Linked DNA regions of Notamacropus eugenii. The protein of the gene in region 1 interacts with the protein of each later gene in a pairwise test. Links are inferred from orthologs where the notes say so. Each region holds a gene or a part of one and is shown on either strand. Other genes may lie near its edges.

Region 1 (10,641 bases):
GGATGGAAGGTGAGTCTTCTGACTTCAATAAATCACCATGCAGTTATTAATAGCTTACTATGTGTCAGGCACTGGCCTAGGAGCTGAGGAAGCAAATTCAAAACTGACAGAGCCTCTGCCCTTTTCAAGTACCATCAGTACTATGTTCACTACCCAAAGAATACTAAACTGGAGGTCAAAAGATACCAATGCCTGAGTCACTAACTGTGTGACCTTGGGTAAGTCACTTACCCTTGCTAAACTTTTTTCCTCATCTCTAAAGTAGGGATCAGAGCAACACCTACCTAACAAAGTTGTTGCAAGATTGGATGAGAAGGAACATAAATCCCTCTTTAAAACTCAATGCTATATAACTATCTGCTAGCATCATCATTATTACCTGTGGGATCTTCTCTGACCTCCCCGTCACAAGAATGATCACCCTGTCCTTGCAGCATCTTGCCAAAACCTTACTCACAATTTCTCTTGCTTGTATCATAATTGTTTGTGTACATGTGTCCTCATCTAGTCCTTAGTCCCTAACCTCCTTAAGAGCAAGGCAAGACCTGTGTGGTTTCTATGGAGTTTAGATCTCTGAGGTCTAATCTGGTCCTAGCCACCTAACATAGTGTCTCACACATGATAGGCACGTAGAAAATAGAACTGCACTCATAAATTCTCGCTGAAGTAGTAGATGGTGATATGAGAAATTTCTGGGATCCTTGTAGTCCTAGAGTTTCTCAGAAAGCAAGAGTTTTCATCAGACTTCTCATTAGGACTGGCGATACTGCTGAGAGAGTCCCTCCCCTACCACCTGCACCTATACCAGGCGCTAGGAACAAATGCCTGAGCAAGCTAGGGCCCTCTCCTGCAAAGGAGTCTGGGAGAAGCACCTGGTATAGAAGGCTAATTTCAAGTGCTTTTCGTGGGAGTGAGTGAATGCTCAGGTGTGGCTAGGGGGAAGCTTGCAAGAACACCTCTGGTATTTCTGCCAGCTTTCCTCAAGTTCCATTCTGTATGACTGGCTGCTGAACCTCTGGTAGAGGCATCCTGGGGCAGATGTGACATCTCCATGTTTCCCCAAGATGTCTCTGGTAGGTGAATCTCCAGTGTTGTGCTGTACTGTTCCAAAATCCGACACCAAATATATCAAAGAAGGAATCTGGGCAATAGTGACAGGTCCTCCATCCCTGAGCATAACTCCCCATTGCATAGGAATGGGTCTCATACTAAGATATTAGGCTAGGCCTAGAAAATCTTACAAGTACTAGCCTAGACTTTTATAGCACTTCATAGCTTTAAAACTGCTTTATGCACAGTAGGTAAGTGCAAATATTATCTTTTTTTTTACAGATAATTAAATGGAGTCTCAGAGCAGTTCCCCATAATTTACTTGCTTGTACATAGTTGCTCGCATAATGTTGTCCCTAATAGATTATGAGCTCCTAGAGGGCAAAGATTGTCTTTTGCTTTTCTTTGCGGCCCCAGGGTTTAATAGAACATCTGGCACTTAGTAGGTGCTTAATAAATGTTTATTGACTAAGTTACTCCAGGTCACGAAGTTAGTAAGAGGTGGAGCCAGAGCTCAAAGCAAGGCTTTCTGGTTCCCAGATTCAGTATTCTTTCCATTATTGCATGCTACTTTAGAATTAGAAGGCATATCTTGAAGGAGTTGTTTTAGATCAATTCAGTGGGAATACTACAATACACAACAGGCAAAAAACAAAAAATGCATGTTTTATTAGGCTGAGTTTTTACTGATGAAAAATAGAAATGTGTTTGATAACAATGCTCTTTTAAATTTTATAGTAATTTACAGTTTTGAAGTAGTCTGGAAAAATTTTATGTAATGTTATGAATGGGTTACTAAAGGGGAGTTTGGGGGTAGAATGCTAAATGTGTGCTGCGATGTTATGAAAGTCAACTAATATAAATGTGACATTTATGATGTAATAAGATTTGTGCCTTGTTTACACATATTATCTCATCTGACCCCACAACAGCCTTTAAGCTAGTAATTATTGTTCCTATTTCATAGATGAAGAAACTGTGGCTAAGAGGTTAAATGACTAGTTAGAGTCACAGAATAAATGCCTTTCAGGTTTTCCTGATTCTAAGTCCAGCATTCTATGCACTCCACGGTGGCTTCTCTTTATAACATCCCTTTGTCCATTCCAAGAGAGATAACGGCTGGTCTGAGCTAGGAAGCCATTTCCTGTAATTTTGTAAACTGTCTTCAGCGAATGGTTTCAAGTCCATCTTTTGGTAGTCCTTCATTAGATTACACTGTCCCCTCCTTTAATGCTGATTTCAGGAATTTCTAATGGCATTAAAACAAAAAACTGAGAGTCACTTTTCCATTCAGCTTTCTCATTTTGGTCCATTTCCATTTTAAGAACCTCTTGTAGAAACAAATGTGAAAGTTTAGGAATCATTTTCTCTTCAACAGTCAGCTTGTTGACAATTCTAAATGTGACATCTCTGGGTCTTAAATAACCTTCTTGAGATGCTAGCATCTAGAGAACTTTAATTATATGTTTCCCCCAAATGAGAGTTGGGTCAAGCACTTGGTCCACCAAAATGAATACCAAATAACTCAATAATTAACTGTCTAGGATGTGGAGGTGGATAAACATTTGACTCAGCAGCCAGTTTAAGATATATAGCACTGACAGAGGTACTTTTAAAAAATAATTTCAGGGTTAGGGAATTTTGATAATAGAAGTGGCTGGTAACAGCACTTTTAACTTTGTGGTGATGAGACTCAGTTTTTGACCACACAATTATTAACTGTAAAAGCAAAAAACAAAACAAAAAAGCCTTCAGCAAAGGTGTATCAAACCTTATCTAGGGCAAAAATAACTTTTTTCCCCTCCTGAAATGGCAACTTCCAAATCACTATTACAGCTCTCTGCATTCTTTGCCCGGAGGCCCTCTTTTCCTTCAGGGGAAAGGAGGAAGAATCCGGGAAGTAGGAAAGCAATCTGAGACGGGTGGGCAGAAGGCAGAACTGGAGCGGTCACTCACTACTTGTGCACCCCCGGGAAAGTAATTTAACTCTCTCCCCGCTCCTATTTTTGTGATTGTTGTTTCTCCATCAGTAAAACGAGGAGGCTGAGCTTCCTTATGATCCTGCACCTAAAATCCCAGAAAAGACACATCCTGGAGGCTCCTCCCCCAAAGTTGGTTGCTCACCAAAGAGGCTCCTCCCCCAAATTTAGTTTCTGACCCAGGGTGCTCCTCCCTCAAAGTTTAGTTTCTTATTTCTGACACCATACAAAAGTCCTCCAGAGAACCCAAACCCATAGACTGGTAAAAGTAACTGTGATGGCCAAAACGCAACCCAAAAGAGTGTTACTGAAAAGTCCAGAGACCTCTGAATCGTCTCTGAAGCTGAGTGCAAGCTCTCTCCTCCTCTTCCCTTCCTTCATGTCCTCGGTTCCCTGACAAGAGTTCCAGCAACAGTATTCTACCCTCAAGGAGACTTTGGCAGAGATCCCAGAGAGGTCAGCGGACACAGCCTTCCTCCAGTGCGGAAGAAAACTGTAAGATACCGCTACACAAATGTCCAGGAACGAACATTTCATACCTGGAAGACGCAAGACGCACATAAAACAAGTTTCTTGATGCCAAACAAAGCCCAAAAGAGTCTAAGCTGAGGAAATGGAGGTGGAAAGACTTGCTAATTTGCAATGCCATACATACACGCCCCCAAATCAATCCACCCAACCGAAACCGATTGAACGGGTAGGAGCTCAAGTGGGGAGCTACTTCAGAACCGGAAGGGAAGAACCAAGAGAGGGTTCCCTAACAGCTCGGGGAGGGGAGGTGGCATTTCCTCCTCCTTTCTCCACCCGCTCTAAGGCAAACAGCTGCCAAATATGCGCCTCCGCCTCCTGCCCTCCCCGGGTTCACAGCGCCATTCCCAGGGCACACGTGGCTGCAGAAAGCTCAGCCTTTAAGACTCTGGCTAGCTCCTACAAGTCAGTTTGACTTGAGGGTTTGTGTTGCAGCAGGGACGACTGGAATAGAAAGCAGGAAAGAAAACTAATGCCACTGGCACCAAGGGCCCTGCTTCAAGGGGGCCACCAAACTCACCTGCATCACTGAATTTGCTGCTGCTGCCGCCAGCACCATCTTCTCCAGCTGCAGCCCCCTCAATCCCAAGAGAAGCCATTCCGCTGGGAGAGTGGGGGAGAGAAATGAGGAGGTGGGGTCTAGTTCCAATGAGAACCTAGGACTCAGTTTACACCTCACCTCACCCCACCCCCAACTTCAGCCTTTCCTCCACTCCCCAACGTAGCCACCAACAGCTCTTATTCAGCAGAACCGAACAAGGGAGAATGGGAGGGACCTCCATAAGCCCCACCCCAATCGCTAGGGTGTCCTGTCCCTTCTCTGGAGTGAGGTGGAAAACTACACTTCCCACCATGCATCGGGGAGTGCAGAGGAGGGAGGAGGGAAGAGGGGGGGAGTGGAGTGGAGGAAAGCAGTGGGGGCGGTGCGCCCGAGAGTGCCCCGGCGTGTTCGCTTAGTTCAGTGAATCAGAACAATGCCTGCGCGTCTGAATCCCCGGGAGCGCGTCTGAGGAAGCTGCGGAGAGGTGCAGCAGCGGCCCCAGCTCCAGCAGCCCGAGCAGCCTTAGCATCAGTCGGAGCACAGCCCGCGCACTGTCAGCGCTTGGGCAGGCTCCAGTCCTGACCCTTCTCCCTCTTGCCCAAGGACTGAGAGCGCTGAGCTGCCTTTAGCCCTTTCGCTGCTGCTGCTACTCTGGCTTCTGGTTTATTGTTTTGAGCTCCTGAGAGGAGGTGTGAGAGAGGGACAACAGAATCTTCCTTCAGCCATGTGGATACCTACAGAGCACGAGAAATACGGCGTAGGTGAGTCTTTCTCCGGGCGAACTTTTATTCTCTCTCCTGGGCTTGCAATTTTCCTCTTTCTCTTCTTTTCTGCTCTTGTTATTTGCCCCCTATATTTAGGTGAGGCTGGAAATGGATAGTTGGGGCATAATATAGTCCCCCGTTTGTTTCCCTCTTTTGCCTTGATACGGTGCTGTGCTATGCAGATCATCTCAAAGCGGAGAGAGATACACACATCCTTGCCCCCCCCAACTCGCTGGATTGGGGGCTCGCGCCCGCCCCAACGAAACCCTACGCACCCACCCCCTTCTCTACCACCCTCCGCTTTCAGATCCGCTGGCTAGCGATCAGCCGCCGATGCAAAGGGAACGGATCCCTTAGTTCTGCGTTGCCGACTCTCATCTCCGTCTTTGGAGTTTGGAAGTGGAGATGGGTGCATGTGTGTGTCAAGTTGCAAGGGAAAGGGCGAGCCCCTTTCCTAGTCTTCCCCTTCGTCCCTTCCCCCCCAAACCCCGGGATTTGAAACGACAATCAGCTGCAGAGATTTCCCGGGAGGAGGGTTGGGGACAGAGAAGAGAGGAAGGGGAGGGGGAAAAAACCCGAAACCAACAAAACCAGAAAGGGAAGGCAAACCCTTCCTTCTGGCTCGCATGAACATCCCCAGAGTGCAAAATGTGCAATAATCTACAAAGGACAATTCTGACAGGAGACTGAGCCCGTTCTATTTCCTTCCCCAACGCCCTTCTCCTCTCCACCCCCCCCCCCCCGCACATTTTTGTTTGTATTTTGTATTAAGTGTTTTTGAGGGTTGGGGGAGTTTCTCTGTGAATTTCCGTTGAATTGCTCCCTTTCCTTGTCATTTGAAAAGGAACGAGGACTTGGTTATGTTTCCACTTCTGGCTACTGCGTCCGGTCCGATCCTGGGGTCACTGCGGGGAGCCGGGCGTGGGGTGGGGTTTTTTTGGTGGGGGGTCAGTTGGAAAGTGCATTTTCAGTTCTGGGGAGTGAGCTAGGGATAGCCGTGGGTCAGACGGAGGCAGGAGGGTACGTTTTAAGGAAAGACCTGTCTGACTTTGGCGTTTTGAGAAAAAGGAAAACAGTGTAACACTCGCTCCTCTGTGCAAAGGTGAACAACAAAGGACATTAATGTTGACTGATGAACGCTGGATTCTCCCTTCCTCTCCCTCCTCCCATTTAATACGGACTAGAGTTCCCGTTCTTGTTTGAATTAAACTGGGTTCTTCCCTTCTCCCCATCCCCCTCCCCTCTTTCTGGGTTTTCAGGATTTGCCTTAAAAAAAAGAAAAGAAAGAAATGGGGCTTTCAGTGAAGGTCCTGAAACACGAACGGGCTAACCACGGCCCTAAAGGTCTCTCTGAGATCAGAACATTTATAGAATTTATCTATTATCCCCTTATTTCTTATCTGCCATCTACTGCCGCTAGGCAGTGCTTTTGAAAAGGGCAAATCTCTGTAGATGTGGATACTGTGGAAAATCTGCTTTCTTCCCATCTCATTCGTTTCCTGCAATTAAAAAAGGAAGATCAAAGTGCTGTTTGTGGGAGTCATTTTCACAGGGGACCCTCTCTCCCCAATTTTGCCTGGAGGAGAGACCGTGGAGTCCTCTGAACTGACTTCGTGAAGTGATTAAACAAAGTCAGCTCATCTTTTGCTTGACCTACTAAAAGCCTTCGTTCTGTGTTGAGTGGTTAGCAAGACAATAGTTTCTTCTAGATGTGTTTGGAGTATGTTTGACAGCCATTCTTTCCAGCTTCCTTCTTTTCCTTGGTCGCTTTTATATTTTTTCCATATTTAGGTAGAAGCCTAAAGAGTTTGTCTTTGTTTCTGAGCTTGAGGAAGAGGGTATCATCTCAGTATCATCTCATTGCACCGGGTTTAACAATTAGTGCAAGAAGCCAAGACCCATTCAGGGCAACCCCGTCCCATTTGGAGTTGATCCCAGATGTTGCTTTCTTCCAAGTGTTAAATTATAGAGATTATCGATGGGATTCATTTTCTTTTATTTTTCTATGTGCCAGGTCACAGCTGGGTTGCTAGTATCGATTAGCTCCCCTAGTCTCTTTTCTTTACTGCTGTGGGCAGGGTCTGATAAACCACTCTAGGGTTTGCTGGAGTAGCAAACAGGATATTATCAGTGAAGTATTTCAAGCTGCAGCAAAATCACTCAGATTTGTGTGGTGGTAGTTGTGATTTGGAGGCCACTTATCTGAGTGGGAAAAGGTGGCAAAGGAAGGGGGAGAGTGGAAAGATGAGTATTTCTTGCCAGAATTATTGCTTCCCTTTGTCATTTATACTGCAAACCTTTGAGGGCTAATAATATTTTTTTTTATTATTTTTCAAGCATTTGGCTTGTGGTTGCTTAGTTGTTCACCATCCATCTGTTAGAATTTTTTGGAGTACTGAGAAAAATTTGCTAGGATACTCCTGCATGCGGAGCTTCTTTCTTCACCATGGAGAGAACTATTTGTGGCTGTTAGTGCTTCAAGGCTTCTTCTCCTCCTCCTCCCTTTTACCCTTGATATAAATGTGTGTGTTTTCTGTAGTTCTTATGAATACCAGGGAAGAGTATTTTGTGGTTATCAAAGATTTGCAATTCTTGGTTCAGTTCAGTTTCATCAGTAATTGAAATAAATTGATCCTTTCCAACCTGAAGTGTTCAGATACCTCTGAAAATCTACCACTTTTACTGTGGGACTTTTTAAAAAATCTGTAGTGATCCGTGTGTGTCCACAGAGAAAATATTTGTGTCTTTAATATATCTGTGTTAACATTTCACAAATATAATGCATATTCTTCATTTTCTTTTATAATAAATAGTATATGTATACATGTACATGTGTGTATATGTAGATGTACATATATGTATGTGTGTGTATATATATTACATATATATATTTCAAAGTGGTTTGAAAATGTAAATTCTCTCACCTGGGCAATAGAATAGCCTATAGTGTTTAAGTGATAACCCACCTTTATGTCAAAACCATCTATGTTTTGTCATGGGCCTGAATTGTCTAAAATTGGAAAATTATGAAAGATAAGAATCAAACTAAATTTCTGAGCATAATATAACTCTTTTCTTTTTAGTGTGATTAAAAAAAGTTGTTCATGATGAAATGAGGATTTTTTTTTTAAGTTGAACAATTCTGGTTATTGACTCCATCAATTAGCAGAGTAGAAAAGAGGCATTGGACTCAAATGCCAGAGACCAGGGTTCCAGTTCTGAATTTACCATTGACTTGCTTTGTGTCTTTAGGCACAAGTCAGTAACTTTGTTGGGCCTCAGTCTCTTTACCTGTAAAATGAAGGAGTCAGACTACGTGATGATTTACATTCCCATAAGCGGTAGCTTTACAGTTTTAAAGCTACTAATCACATGTACCCTTTAGAAAGAAGAGCAAAGCTTGCTGTGTGGTATATACTTTTTCCATGGCATGCCAAAAATGATTTTTAAACAAGATGAAGAGCTAAGCAAAAGCCACCCGGTTTCTTGGAGGGACTGCTAGGATCCAGGTGGCAGTTGCTCACTTTCACAGTCTGTCTGATCCTTTCAAGAGGAGTTCCTCTGATGGTGAGTAAAGCAGATTCCCCCCGCCCCCAAAATGTTTTCTGATTTCCTGCAGACTGAATAATTTTACAAAGATAAAGAGGTCACCTTCCTTCTCTGTGTAAGTGGGGATTGCCCACAGAAATAGTTCAGAGCATTGAAGGCGTAACTGCTCCAAGATTCCTTCAGCAGATAGTTGTGTGGTGCCTACAATGAAGAGACATTCTGGCATGCAGCATAGAAAAGAGGCCTGAACTACAAATGAAGGGACTTGTGCTTAAAGAAGGCTCTCCCATTAAACTAGCTCTGTGCTCTAGGGCAACTTATTTTTAATCTTTCTGAGCTGAAATTTCTTCACCTGTAAAATGTGAATAAAATTTGCCCAGTCTACCTCACAGTGCTTTTGTGAGGCTCAAGTGAGATAACAGATAAAAATACTTTATAATCCTAAAACACTATATACAGATGAGTTATTTTATTGTCTCTAATATCCCTATGTGGATTAGTTATTTTTTTATGTTCCATAACCATAGACAGCACTTCTAACTTTGTCAGCTATCTAGTTCATAAATGTACACCCTTGGCTGGGCAAAGGATTAGGGATGAATCAGTGCAAAGCCATTAACATAACAGGTAAAACAACTCTGAATGCATGTTATACATACTAACTCTAGTTAATAGTATAATCTTGTATGTGAAGGATCTACTTAGTATTACCTCTACTATTGTACTGTTGTCGAGATCAACATTAATATTATTACTAGTCATTCATTAATCTGACAAATATTTGTTAGGTCAGTCAGGGGATAGCTATAATACAAAAAAAAAGACAAAAGACCATTCTTGTCCTCAAGGAGCTCAGAATCTACTGAGGGAGATGACATACGAAGAACTATGTACAAACTATATACAGAAGAAATTGGAAGTAAGCAACATAGAGAATTCACTAAAATTATGGACTATATGTTCTGGGTATCGGAGGAGATAAAATTTTAATTAGATGGGGTATCTGCTCTTGAGGACTTCGTAAACTTACGCAGTCTTAAAAAAGTACCTGCCTATATTTTTCAGGAAGAGGAAAAGTATGGTATCATACAAAGAGCATAAGACTTAAAGTTAGAAGATCAGTTTTGAACAGCTGTGTGGAAAGTGTGTGACCTTGGACAAATCACTTATTCCCTAGGAAGCTCCATTTTCCCAACTGTAAAAAGAGGATGATGACTTCATAGGATTGTTGAAGTGAAAATACTGTATAAACTCTTAAACACTATATAAATATAAGTTATCATTTTCTAGAGATGTTTTGGCTTAATTTGATTTGTTTTTCTTTTTAAAGTCCTTCTATTGTAACAGAACTAATTCCTGCCTCTTTATAAAAGTTATTTTAGAGTGGTATTTCCTTCAAAAAGAAAATATAATTATACTCTTTATAATTAATTTGTTTTTAGTTTTCAACATTCACTTCCATAAGATTTTGAGTTTTAAATTTTCTCCCCCTCCCTGTTCTCCCATGTAATTGTACTCTTGTCTGGGAGAGAATAAGGAGAGTGTGATTTTTCTTTTAGTTTTTGTTCATTGCTATTGCAAACTCATTTTACAGAGTTTAAAAAGAATGTTTATTTCATGACTTTTTTTGTTTCCAAATACTGTGTGGTTGTAATGCTATGGAAGCAGCATTCAGAAGGAATCCAACTGTATACACTAACTGTATAATTTTGAACTTTTTCTTAAGTATTTGGGGTAAGAGTGATTTCTATCTCTTGGTAAAATCTCACCAATTGGTTTGAACACATTAGGAAGATGACAGATGCATGTGGTTTAGCATGTTGTCTGCTTTGGTATTATACTATCGATTTCCTTTTCTTACAACTCCTTCCCAAGTGACAATTCTTCCAGAAGGACCACATTAGACCACATTTTCATACAATAGATCAATAATTGTGCCTTCCTTTACTTCTTGGTTGGAGGATGGTTCTTGAAGTGGCAGAATCCTAGATGATTATAGTCATTTAACTTAACCTGTTCTTAACAGTTTTAATAATAAATAATAATGTTCAAGAATCCTCATGGTGATAAAAGCTTACATTTGTGTGGCTCTTGTTTTGAATCAGTTTCACTTGTACTGTGTTTTGATTATCACTGCAACTGGATGAAGTAGGAACAGATTTTACATAAAAGAAACTGAACTTAAAGAGGTTTTGATTTGTTTTAGCTCAATAGGGGTAGAGTCACAGTC
Region 2 (10,569 bases), about 350 Mb from region 1:
TTGCTAGACAGAATTGTCTGAGTGTGGAATAAGAAACAAGTCAACTGAAAACTGCTCATTAGCTGGATACCAGCACCTGGGCTCATGCCAGATCCCTGGGGAGGTCATGGGGATTGTTTTTGCAACAATGAGAGAGAATTCCTCAGATGTAGGAGAAGACTAGATGAGGTGGCATGGGGAGAGTGGGGGTCCTCCTTGGGGATTCCAGAGTGAAAGTATTAATGAAAGATACTGATGATCACCAAACAACCCACAATGTTCACTGAGTCCAAGACAAGCCTGAGAAAGACAGAGACAAAGACCAGCCACTTCAATGAACCAGTTTCCAATCTTTATTAAAAGTGAATTCTGAGAGTGTGTGGGGGAGGTAGGGAATAGCAGCCCTCAGCTGGCCACCAAGGGTCTGCATCTCCTCCAGAGCTTCAAATGGCATCCTCTTGGGGGTGGGGGTGTCTGCCCCAATTCCCATGGGAATGGCAATGGGAGGCCTTGGAGTTTTGGTAGTGGATCCTTTCATTCTGGTCCATTAGAACAAAGGGATTTAAAACTAATTTTAAAGCATCTTGGTCGTTCCACAGTCCTTGATGCACCAGGACTTTCAGGAAATGATGCAGCCTCCCTTGAGTTCCTTGAAGGGGTTTTTGTCCTCGGGGATTCCCTTCACAAGGGGGTCCTCTCCAGACCTCTCCTCGATGTAGTCTCTCACCTCTTCACAACATTTTGAAACCTTTGAAAAAAGAAAGAGTGGGAGAAGAGCTGCTGACAGATGGATGCCATTAGTCTAAGGTGCAGAACATCCCCAAAGGCAGACCACACTGGAAGTATGGCTGGCTCCTAAATCTTCCCTTCCTTCCCCCAGCTTTCTTAGAGTCTTGGACCCTCTGTGAGGCTTCAGCCTGGATGCTCTCCCTAATGTTAAGTGATGAGGGCCCTGCTGGGACCAAGTCCAGTCCTCGCCCTTCCAGGGTATCTATTAATTTGGTGCCTTGCTAGGCACTGGGTTGGCAGACAGAGATAAAACCAACCCTTAACTTCTAGGGACTGACATTGGGCTTGGGGGCAAAAAAACCATGAGATAAGCTGAGAAAAGGGATGCAGTCATGACTGGGTGGTTAGGAAAAGCATCCTTTGGAGGCAGCCCCTGAGTCTTGAGAGATTATAAGGGGTGGGGGATGAGGAGGGAGAGCTGAGCTCAGGGAGCAGCCAAGGTAGCAGGAAAGTACCTGCCTCACAGAGGGGCTGTTGTGATTTCTGTGTGTGCAGAGCAGTCTGTGTCCATTGCTGTGAGTAGCAGTCTTGAGAATAATGTGGAAGATATGAATGAAGTGCTGTGAAGCATTCAGAAGGGAGGTGGTCTTAAATGCCCACAGAACCCAAGTGCCTATGACGTGCCAGATGCCATGGGGACAAAGACAAAAATGGAGGAGCCCTTCCTTGGGGAGTTGCATGGGCCCCAATGAAGACTCTCTATCTTGGGCCATGAGCAATGGTCGAATGAGGGATGTGGTAGCTGTGAGAAGGGGCCTGGGGGTGGCAGCTCTGCCCAGCCCTGAGGGGCCAGGCCTCAGACTTCCCAGGGTATGTGAAGACACTACTGCTTTTCCCTCTCCTTCTGCACCAGGGGCTTTGAGAGCAGTGGGGACAAGGAGCTTGCTTCACAACCAGGTCCATCCCCCAAACCAGGAGTCCTGTGTTCCCCTTAACAAAGCAGAGTATCCTTTCTGCTTGATGATCAATCCCTAGAATACAAGGGAGAGAAGGGAAGGATGACTGCTTTGTCCAAGCTGGCTCTGAAAGTGGTATGGGCTATGAACAGGGAATCCACATGACTGATCCAAAGGACCTGCATTCCACTCCTAATCCCACTCAGTTTATTGCAGCTATCTTCCCTGAGTGGTTCACCCTCTGCCTCTGGGAGGGAGAGGGGAAGGAAAGGCCAGAGAAGTATTTGTTCCATAAGCTCAGGGACCTCCAGATGTGGGGCTAGAAGGTACAGAACAAGAGACAAGATGGCATTGGGTCCTCACCCACCCAGAGGCTTCAGAACAGGATAAAGTACAAGGTACAGTGGTAACCCTAACACCCCAGGGACCCATGGGCATCGAGTCGCCGACCCCAGCCTCACTCCAGGGCAGTCTTTCCAGATGACCTGGCAGCATCAGTGTTAGAAGTCACAGAGCATAAACCTGGGCAATCCCCTGCCACTAGGACTCACCCCTCCTCCCCCACCCCCACTCCCAGTCCCTCCTCCCCCCCACCCCTCCAGTGGCTTGTGGCCAGCAAGGTCTTCAACATTAGGCTATTTCTTAACCTTGAGACTTGTCTATGAACTGCTTGTATCTGGAGATCACTGAATTCCAGCTCTCTCCTCACATCTCTTACAGTGCCTCATCATGGGAAGGTGGTGAGCTGGGGTGAACTCAGTCTATGCCCATAGAGGGACTGGGAAAGGAGGGGGGACTGACCTTCTCTAAGGGGCTGAAAAAAGTCTTTGGCCCTATTCTACTGGGCTCCGCTGCTTTTGTGAGTCTTTGTAATGGGGGTGGGGCTTCAACCAGAGGCAGGACACAGCCAGGAGACCAGGGCCACTGGAGCACAGAGTACTTGGAGGGGAGTGAGGTGTCAGACTGCAAAGGGAGGAAGTGGCTGGTTAAGAAGGGCTTTGGACACCAAGTGGAGTATTTTGTATTTCCTCCTGGAGGGCTAGAGAGCCCCTGGAGTTTGTGGGGTAAGGGTGACATGGGCAGACCTATCCTTTAGGAGGATCCATTGGACAGCAGGTGGAGAGTGGACCAGAGCAGGGAGAGGTGTGAGCAGGCTGAAGGCCAGCAGTGACTGCCACAGTCCAGGCATGCAGTGCTGAGGGGCTCCAGTGTGTGGATGCCCTTGAAGCTTTGTCTCATTGTCTCTAGATGGCACAGCCTTTTATCTCTCTCCTGCTACAGAAAAATCCCTATCTGCCCTCAACCCTGGACCACGACTCGCAGAGAGGATGGAGGGCACATCGCTGCTTCTGGTCCTAGGGAGAGCTGGCCTAAACTGCCAAAGAAGCATTCCGTCCCTTCTCACTATGACAGTGGGCATACGTAAGGTGACAAAGAGGGGATGGGCAGACAGGTAGAGGGAGCAAGGCCCAGCTTTGGGTCACTGAGGAAGCCTCTCATGTGGGAGACACTAGAGAACAAGCATGACCAGAAGGGGGGGTCACCCAGGGACTGTCACAGTGGGTGAGAGAGAGAACACACTATGCCAGATACTGGCACCCCCAGAGAAGGCCAGAACTTAGTGCTTAGTATACTGCCTGGTGCAGAGGAGGCACTTACAAAATGTTTAACTCACAGAGACTGGAAAGAGGCCCCAGTGGAGGATTTACAGGAGATCTGGGATGAGAACAGGCAGTGAAAGGGTATGAAGTGGGCCTAGGTGGACCCCACCCCACCCTGGAGGAGGTCCTGGTCTGTCAAGTGTTTGTGGAGTTGAATTGAACAGAAATGAACCCAAAGAGAGTCTACTTTTCCTCTCCAATGACCTAGAAGATGGGAAATGGCCTACTTCCCTACGGGGCCAGAGGTCGAAGGCAGGCTAACAAACCCAAGCCACCTGACTTTTGGGCCGGGTTCTTGACCTGCTCTTAGTCCAGGTTTGGTGAAGCACGTCTGTTCCTTGAGTCACTGGAGACAGAGACACCAAACCATAAGAACTATAGGCAACGAGAGAGACTCTACAAGCATATGATGTACGGACCAGATGTCTGGCCCAGGGTTCTAGCAACACTCAAAAGATGGAGGACAGAAGCCTCTGTGTTCTCCCATGCATCTTCCACAACTGACAAAGTCTGACCACACCAGTCCCAGCTCAGTCGCCTCCCATGACTCCCTACTACCCCTGGGAGCAAAAAAAAGCCTCTTCCGTTGGGCTTGTTAAGCCCTTCATCACCTTGCATTGGACACTCCTTACCTCTCCCCCTGACCAGGGAACCAGTTTCTGGCTTCCTTCCAGACATCCCCAGTGCTCCCAACCCTAGGGCACTTCTTGGGGGCTAACAGCTTCCCCCATGGATAGTTTGTACCAACACCTGGATCCCTCTGTGTGTGTCTTCCCTGTAGGGTGTAAATGCTTGAGACCAGGAACTATTTCTCCTTTGTCTTTGCACCCCCAGCACCAGTTGGACACTCATCAATGGTTATTGATTGGTGCTGCAGTTCAGGCCTGGAAGCCTGGTGGCAGACACTTTGTGCATCCCTAGCTCAAAGGACAGCAAGACGGACCCCCCCCAAACAGAATGGGACCAAAGGTTCCTTCCTTCCCATCCCTCCTCTTCCCTCACCTTCCCATCCTCCACTTGGGCAGGGAACCTTCAGGAAGACAGATGAGTGTCTGGCAATGAAGATGCCCCTCAGCATGCAGTATAGCCATGCTATCCCTGTGATGTGGAGGGTTTGGGGAGAAATGCTCCAACTGCAGTGTTTTCAGAGGCCATATGAGGTCCAAAGGTCAAGGTAAAGCATCGTGGGTAGAGAGTCAGGCTCTGAGTAAGGAAGACCTCCATTGGGCGCTAAGGGCAGCTATCCAAGACCCCTCACTACAGTCAGTGGCTGGGATGAGCCCATTTTGCAGGTTAGGACAAAAAGATTGAGGTGGGGAGAGGAGGAGAGTGGCAGTAGACCTCAACTTCCCCCCGTCCAACTGTGAGCATTTCAGAACATTTATCTGTTCTTTTGTGGGGATTGTTGGGCCCAGCAGCCTGGCAGACAGATAAAGAATTTGGGGACAACCTCATTGTTTGGGTGATAAAGGTAAGGCTTCAGACCCAGCCTCCACTCTGGGGCCCTAGTGCATTCCTCTGTTCTGACTCTGACATCTCTGACCAAGCAGCTCCCTGTAGAGGAGAGCAGCTTTACAGCCTCCTGGGACTGGGCCTGGTCAGGGTCAGGCACCCATGTGGGCAAAGGGCACTGCTGGCCTGGCCTGGGAGTCTCCTCCCTGTTCCCACCAATGGTCTCCCCCAATGTCATATCTTTTCAAGTCTGAATTGGCCAGGCTCTACCTCCCCAGGAACCTCCCCTGTCCTGGCCCCAGGCCTTCCCAAAGTGGCCACTTACCACCATCCTTTCTAGCGTCACCTCTTTCTTCAGCTGGTCCACTTCCATCTTCAGCTTGTCCTTCTCTGTCAGGTCTTCGATATTGATCACTGGCATCTTGTCCCTGGGCTGACCCTCCCACCAGAGCCGGACTTCTACACTTCTGCCAAGGGCTTGGTCTGCTTCAGAGTCTGCCCTTCCCTGACCAACTTGTCAGGCCTGGCTCCTGCCCCTCTCCTGCTTGACTGCCCAGTCCCAGGGTTTTAAAGGACCTTGACATAAGCTCTGCTAATGTGATTAAGCTCAGGGTTTAGCCCTCGGGGAGGCTGGGGTCACTGAGTCTACAATGTGGACTGAAGATAGAGGGGGTCTCTCCACAGTCCACTGTGGTTTTCCTTCTAAGCGAAATTGTATTTTCTTTAAGTATTTGTAGGATGCTTCACATGCTTTCTCCTCCTTTTTGAGGTCATTGGGGAAACTGAGCACTAATCCATTAAAGTGCTGATGTGATTAATCCAGTATTACAGGGGCCCCAAGAAGAGGTGAGAGTCATTCTGAAGTCTGGACTAGAGCCAAGAGCCCTGGAATAAAAACACAGCCAAGGAGGAGCATATATTGCCCAGCAGGGACCAAGCCACATCCTGAGAGGAAGTAGCTCCAGGAAATGATCTGCCAAAAAATGATCAGAGCCTGGGAGAGAAAGAGGAGAGATGTGCCAACAAGTTCTGCCATGTTGATTTATCCAGGCCTGATTCCTGTAGGCTCTCCTCCAACCAGGGGGTCAAACCACAGAGCAAGGGACTCAGAGTCCTGCCCTACTAGGGTTAAATGGTAGGTGGCTTTTACCAGGCATACTTTAAACCCCCCAGAGCCTGCCCCTGACCTTGCACTGGTGGACTGAAGATGGAAGAGGTCACTGTGAACTGTAAGAGGAAGGAGGATGCCTGTCATCAAATCCTGGAGAGAGGGCAAAGGGCCCTCCAGACCGTTAGCTGAGAATTGAGCCCCAGGCATCACTGAGCCAGAGAGGACTGGAGGAGGCCAGTGACACCCCCTCCCTCCTTCCACCTAGCTCTGCTCCACCTGGAGTCCACCTGGGTGCAAAAGGGGTAGAGAGTTTCCCTGGCAATCCTTCCTCGAGTTGCTTCCTGTTTCAAATTGACCTATTTCAGTTTCTTGGCAAGGAGAACAAAACAAGGGGATCTCCTCCCTAAATATTCCTAAGTTTCTAACCAAGGATAAAAAAATTGATGGGTGCCCCCACCCCACCCCATGCTGCATCTTCCTACGTTGCCTTTTCTTAATCTTTACCTGACCATCTGACCTCAGCAGCCTGTGACCCCGCCAATAATCCCTCTCTCCTCCTTGAAACTCTTTTCTCTAGGTTTTTGAGACAGGGCTGTCCTGGTTCTCCTCCTTCCTGTGCAATAGTTCCTCAGTTCCCTTTGCTGGCTCTTCCCCCCAGTTCTTACCCAATAGCAGTGTGGGTCCCTAAAGGCTCTACCCTAGCCCCTCTTCTTTTCTCCCTCCATACTTCTCTCAAGGATCTCATCAGCTCCCAAGGATTTAATTATCTCTGTACTGATTCACAGGTCTTCTTATTCAGCTCTAACCTCTCTGCTGACCACCAGTCTCAAATCTCCAACTGCCTTCCAGACATCTTGAACTGGATGTCTTGTAGACATCTTAAACTCAACAGGTCCAAAAGTGAATGATTTCCACCTCCCCCCAAACCCTAGTCTCTTCCTAATTTCCCTGTTTCTATCAAGAATACCACCTTCTTCCCAGTCACCCAAGTTTGCAACCAAAGTGCCATCTTTGATTTCTCATTCTCACCTCCCATATACAATTTATTGCCAAGACCTGTTGATTTCACCTCTGCAGCATCTCTTGCTGATTTCACCTCCACAACATTTCTGGTTTATTTCACCTCTGCAACTTCTCACCTTTGAAGCATTTCTCCTATATGCCTCCTTCTCTCCTCTGACCCTGCCCCTGCTCTGATCCAGGCCATCATCCCCTCCCATCTAGAATATTGCAATAGCTACTGATGGGTCTCCCTGTCCCAAGTCTCTCCCCACTCTACTCCATCCTCCATTCACCAGACCTGGGATCAGGAGGACCTGAGTTTAAATTCAACTTCAGACACTTACTAGTTGTGTAACCCTGTTTGCCTCAGTTTCCTCATTTGTACAATGAGCTAGAGAAGGAAATGGCAAACTATTCCAGTATCTTCCAAGAAAACCCCAACGAAGTCACAAAGAGTTGGGCACAACTGAAGTGACTGAACAACAACAACTAGGCCTTCCAGGTCTCACTCTCCTCCAGACTTCACTCTACTTTCTGTACCATGGCCTTCTTGTCAGCACTCAATAACAGGATGTAAATGTTGCCTCCTTCAGGCTTTGTTTTCCCTTCACAAGTCCCGGAGACCTCAGGTTCAAATATTCCATGGGACAACCTACACAATGCCCCAGCCTTCCCCACCAAGCAGTTTAGAAATTCCTCAGTGGAAAAAAAAATTCAACAAAGGAAAAAGAGCCTAGGACAATCCTCACTAGAACTTCGAGTCAATTGGCTCACCCCAGCATCTCCTGCACCCACTTCCTGTTCTCTGATCACATGATGCAGGATGTCACTGCAAGCACCACTTGCAGCCCTTTGTAACAACTTTAGCTGTTAATGCCAAATAATCCTGAAAGGATTTTATATGTAATGTGAATATATTCTGCATAGTATAATAAGCACATATGTTGTCTCTCCCCTGAGACTGCACACTCCTTGTGGACAAAGACCGACTTTTTCCTCATGGACCCAGTACCAAGAAAAGTTCCTGGAACACAGTAGGTGCTTCTTAGTCTTGCTCATTGGTGCTGTGGGAGAGATAGCATGAAGATGGAGAAGTCAAGCTAACCAACATTCACTAAGTGCTTATTAGGTGACAAATGCTGCTAAGAGACAGTTGAGGGATCAGCGACTAGAGCTGGCTCTGGAGTCAGGAGGACCTAAGTTCAAATCTAGCCTCAGACATTTATCAACTGTGTAAGCCTGGGCAAGCCACTTCACCTCTGTCTGTATCAGTTTCCTCAACTTAAATTGGAATAATAACAGCTTCCCAGGGTTGTCGTGAGGATTAAATGAGATAGTATTTTAAAGTAACTAGCATAGCATAGGTGTTTGATAAATGCTTGTTCCTAAGTCCTGGGAATACAAAGAGGCAAAAAACATTCCCTGCTTCTTTTCTCTTTATAGTCTGATATTTAATATTAAGGTCCCATATCCACCTAGAATGAATTGTGGAGTGAGATAGAAAGTGTTAGTCTGAGCTTAATTTCTATCAGAATATTTTCCAGTTTTCCTAGTCAAATAGGGTCTTCTTGCCTAGGTAAATTTCTGTATGTATGTATATTACATATATATAATATACATATGTTTATACATGTATATGTGTATATGTGTATACATATGCATACACATATATGCATATATAATATGCTACATTTTATGTGTATGTATGTTAGTTGTTATACATATGCATGTGAAACCAAAAGTCATCCTCTAATTCATAAGTGTTCAAAGGACATAAACAAATCATTTTCAAAAGAATTAGAAAGTACTAATAACCAGAGGAAATAGTGTTCCAAATCCCTAATAATAGAGAAATGCAAATGAAAACAAGTCTGAAGTTTCACCTTATACCCTACAAATTGGTAAAGATGACAAAAGATAGGAATAATCAAGGTTAGAGAGGTTGTGGCAAGATAAGCACACTAGTACATTGTTAGTGGAGCTGAGAATCAGTACAACCACTTTGTAAAGTAATTTTTAAATATGGAAATATAGCAGTTAAAATGTTTGTACCCTTTGATTCAAATATTCCACTATTAGGGTTAAGTCCCCAAGGAAGTCATCAATAAAAAGAAAGCCCCCATTTATGCCAAAATTTTTATAGCAGAACTCTTTTGTGGTTGTAAAGAATCAGAAGCAAAATAGATGCCCATCGTTTAGGGAATGGCTAAATAAACTGTGGTGTATGAGTGTAATGGAATATATGTTATACGAAGTAACGTGTGATGAATATAGAGAAGGCTGGAAAGTTCTGCATAAGCTAATGCAGAGGGAAGGGAGCAGAGCCAAGAGGACAGTCTACACAGTGACAACAACACTGGAAGTGGAAAGATAAAACAACCAAGAGCAAATTTGCAAAATGAGGAAGAATGAGCCTGATCTGAAAGAAGAGTCATGAGAAGACATTGTTCACCCTGTGCTGGTGGCAGGTCCAACTCAGAAGTGCACTGAATATGCTACGCTTTAACCTCAAACCACTTTGGCTTTCATTGAATGGCTGACAGTCGCCCCTAGCTCAAGCCTCTCTTGCACGTTGTTTGGGTTTCAATGACCCAGCATGAGTGGAAATAGCAATTGATTTTTGTTCTGGCCAAAAACTATGAGGGGCGTCCACTCCCAGAATGATATTTTGTGATGGCAAATTTCACCATCTTCTGTCGCAATTCTTACCTAACCCTTAGTCATTGAATGGATGTTGCCTCAGACAAACTCAGGACTGGGAAATGACCTTAATTTAGAAAGGCAAAGGTCACCCATGACATCCTGGGCCATGTCCAGTCCTGACTTTTTTCTTGCCACTGGACTTTGATGACTCTGGAGGAGAGAGTGAAACAGACAATTTTGCAGATCTTCTTCCCATCTTAAATCCAATTCACTCTCAAGTCGATACATCACCCCTCAAAATCATTGGTCCTCTTGGAGAATGAAGAACAGCTCACATAGCATGTGTTTTTAATGTATTGATTGGTTGTACTGATTTGGGGGGGGGTCTCTTCTTCCTCTTTTTTGTTTTTTTTCTTTAAAAAATTGTTATAGAGGATGACTTGAGAGGGAATGAAGACGGTATACTGAGATAAATCTTTGTGATGTAAAAAATCAAATAATATCAACAAAACTTTATTTTAATAATAAACAAATTAATAAAATGAGCCTTCATAAAAGGAAACTGTTGGTCATCTTAGAAAGCACTATTTCAGTCAGTAGTTGGGTTAGGACACATATTGCAAAGGCTTGAGAAGTGAATGAAAGACCAAGAAGAGACAGAGAAAGTAGAGAGCTTTTTGCGTAGGGATTGGGATGTGAAAGGGAGGCTACGTGACATGCTGCGGGGGTGGCAAGTCCAAGGGATGTTTCTTAAGGACGAGGAGACCTGGGCATGTTTGAAGGTATCAGGAAAGGAATAGTATAAAAAGAATTTGAAGATGAGAGAGACAGGATGATTAAAGAGCAACACTGCCAGCAGAGGCAGCAGCAGGCAGGGTCAAGGGTACGAGGAGAGGAATGGCTCTGACCAAGAAAGACGTCAACTCTTCCTCTGGGATTCTGAAATCAAAGTGGGGGAAACTGGGGAGGGCTGATACTGAGGAATTTGAGGGGGAAATAGGTGAAAAGAGGATGATGGACAGCCTCCTTTTTCTTG

The links. The genes of interacting proteins can lie anywhere in the genome.
Region 2: the proteins of ZNF277 (region 1) and GNGT1 interact in a two-hybrid assay, tested with the Homo sapiens proteins (3 studies listed by BioGRID and IntAct). The two-hybrid records come from large-scale screens. The link is inferred for Notamacropus eugenii from reciprocal best matches to the Homo sapiens genes ZNF277 and GNGT1.

What each region holds. Positions count from the first base shown.
Region 1 is NC_092874.1:141,835,879-141,846,519, forward strand, and holds the start of ZNF277 (zinc finger protein 277), read right to left. Parts: upstream 4,349-10,641; 5' UTR 4,157-4,348; coding exon 4,078-4,156; intron 1-4,077. Other genes in the region: DOCK4 (dedicator of cytokinesis protein 4), read left to right, coding at 4,823-4,859. UniProt on the Homo sapiens protein: Probable transcription factor. Involved in modulation of cellular senescence; represses transcription of the tumor suppressor gene INK4A/ARF, perhaps acting via the Polycomb group (PcG) complex PRC1.
Region 2 is NC_092874.1:489,373,897-489,384,465, reverse strand, and holds GNGT1 (guanine nucleotide-binding protein G(T) subunit gamma-T1), read right to left. Parts: upstream 5,292-10,569; 5' UTR 5,199-5,291; coding exon 5,103-5,198; intron 728-5,102; coding exon 599-727; 3' UTR 513-598; downstream 1-512. UniProt on the Homo sapiens protein: Guanine nucleotide-binding proteins (G proteins) are involved as a modulator or transducer in various transmembrane signaling systems.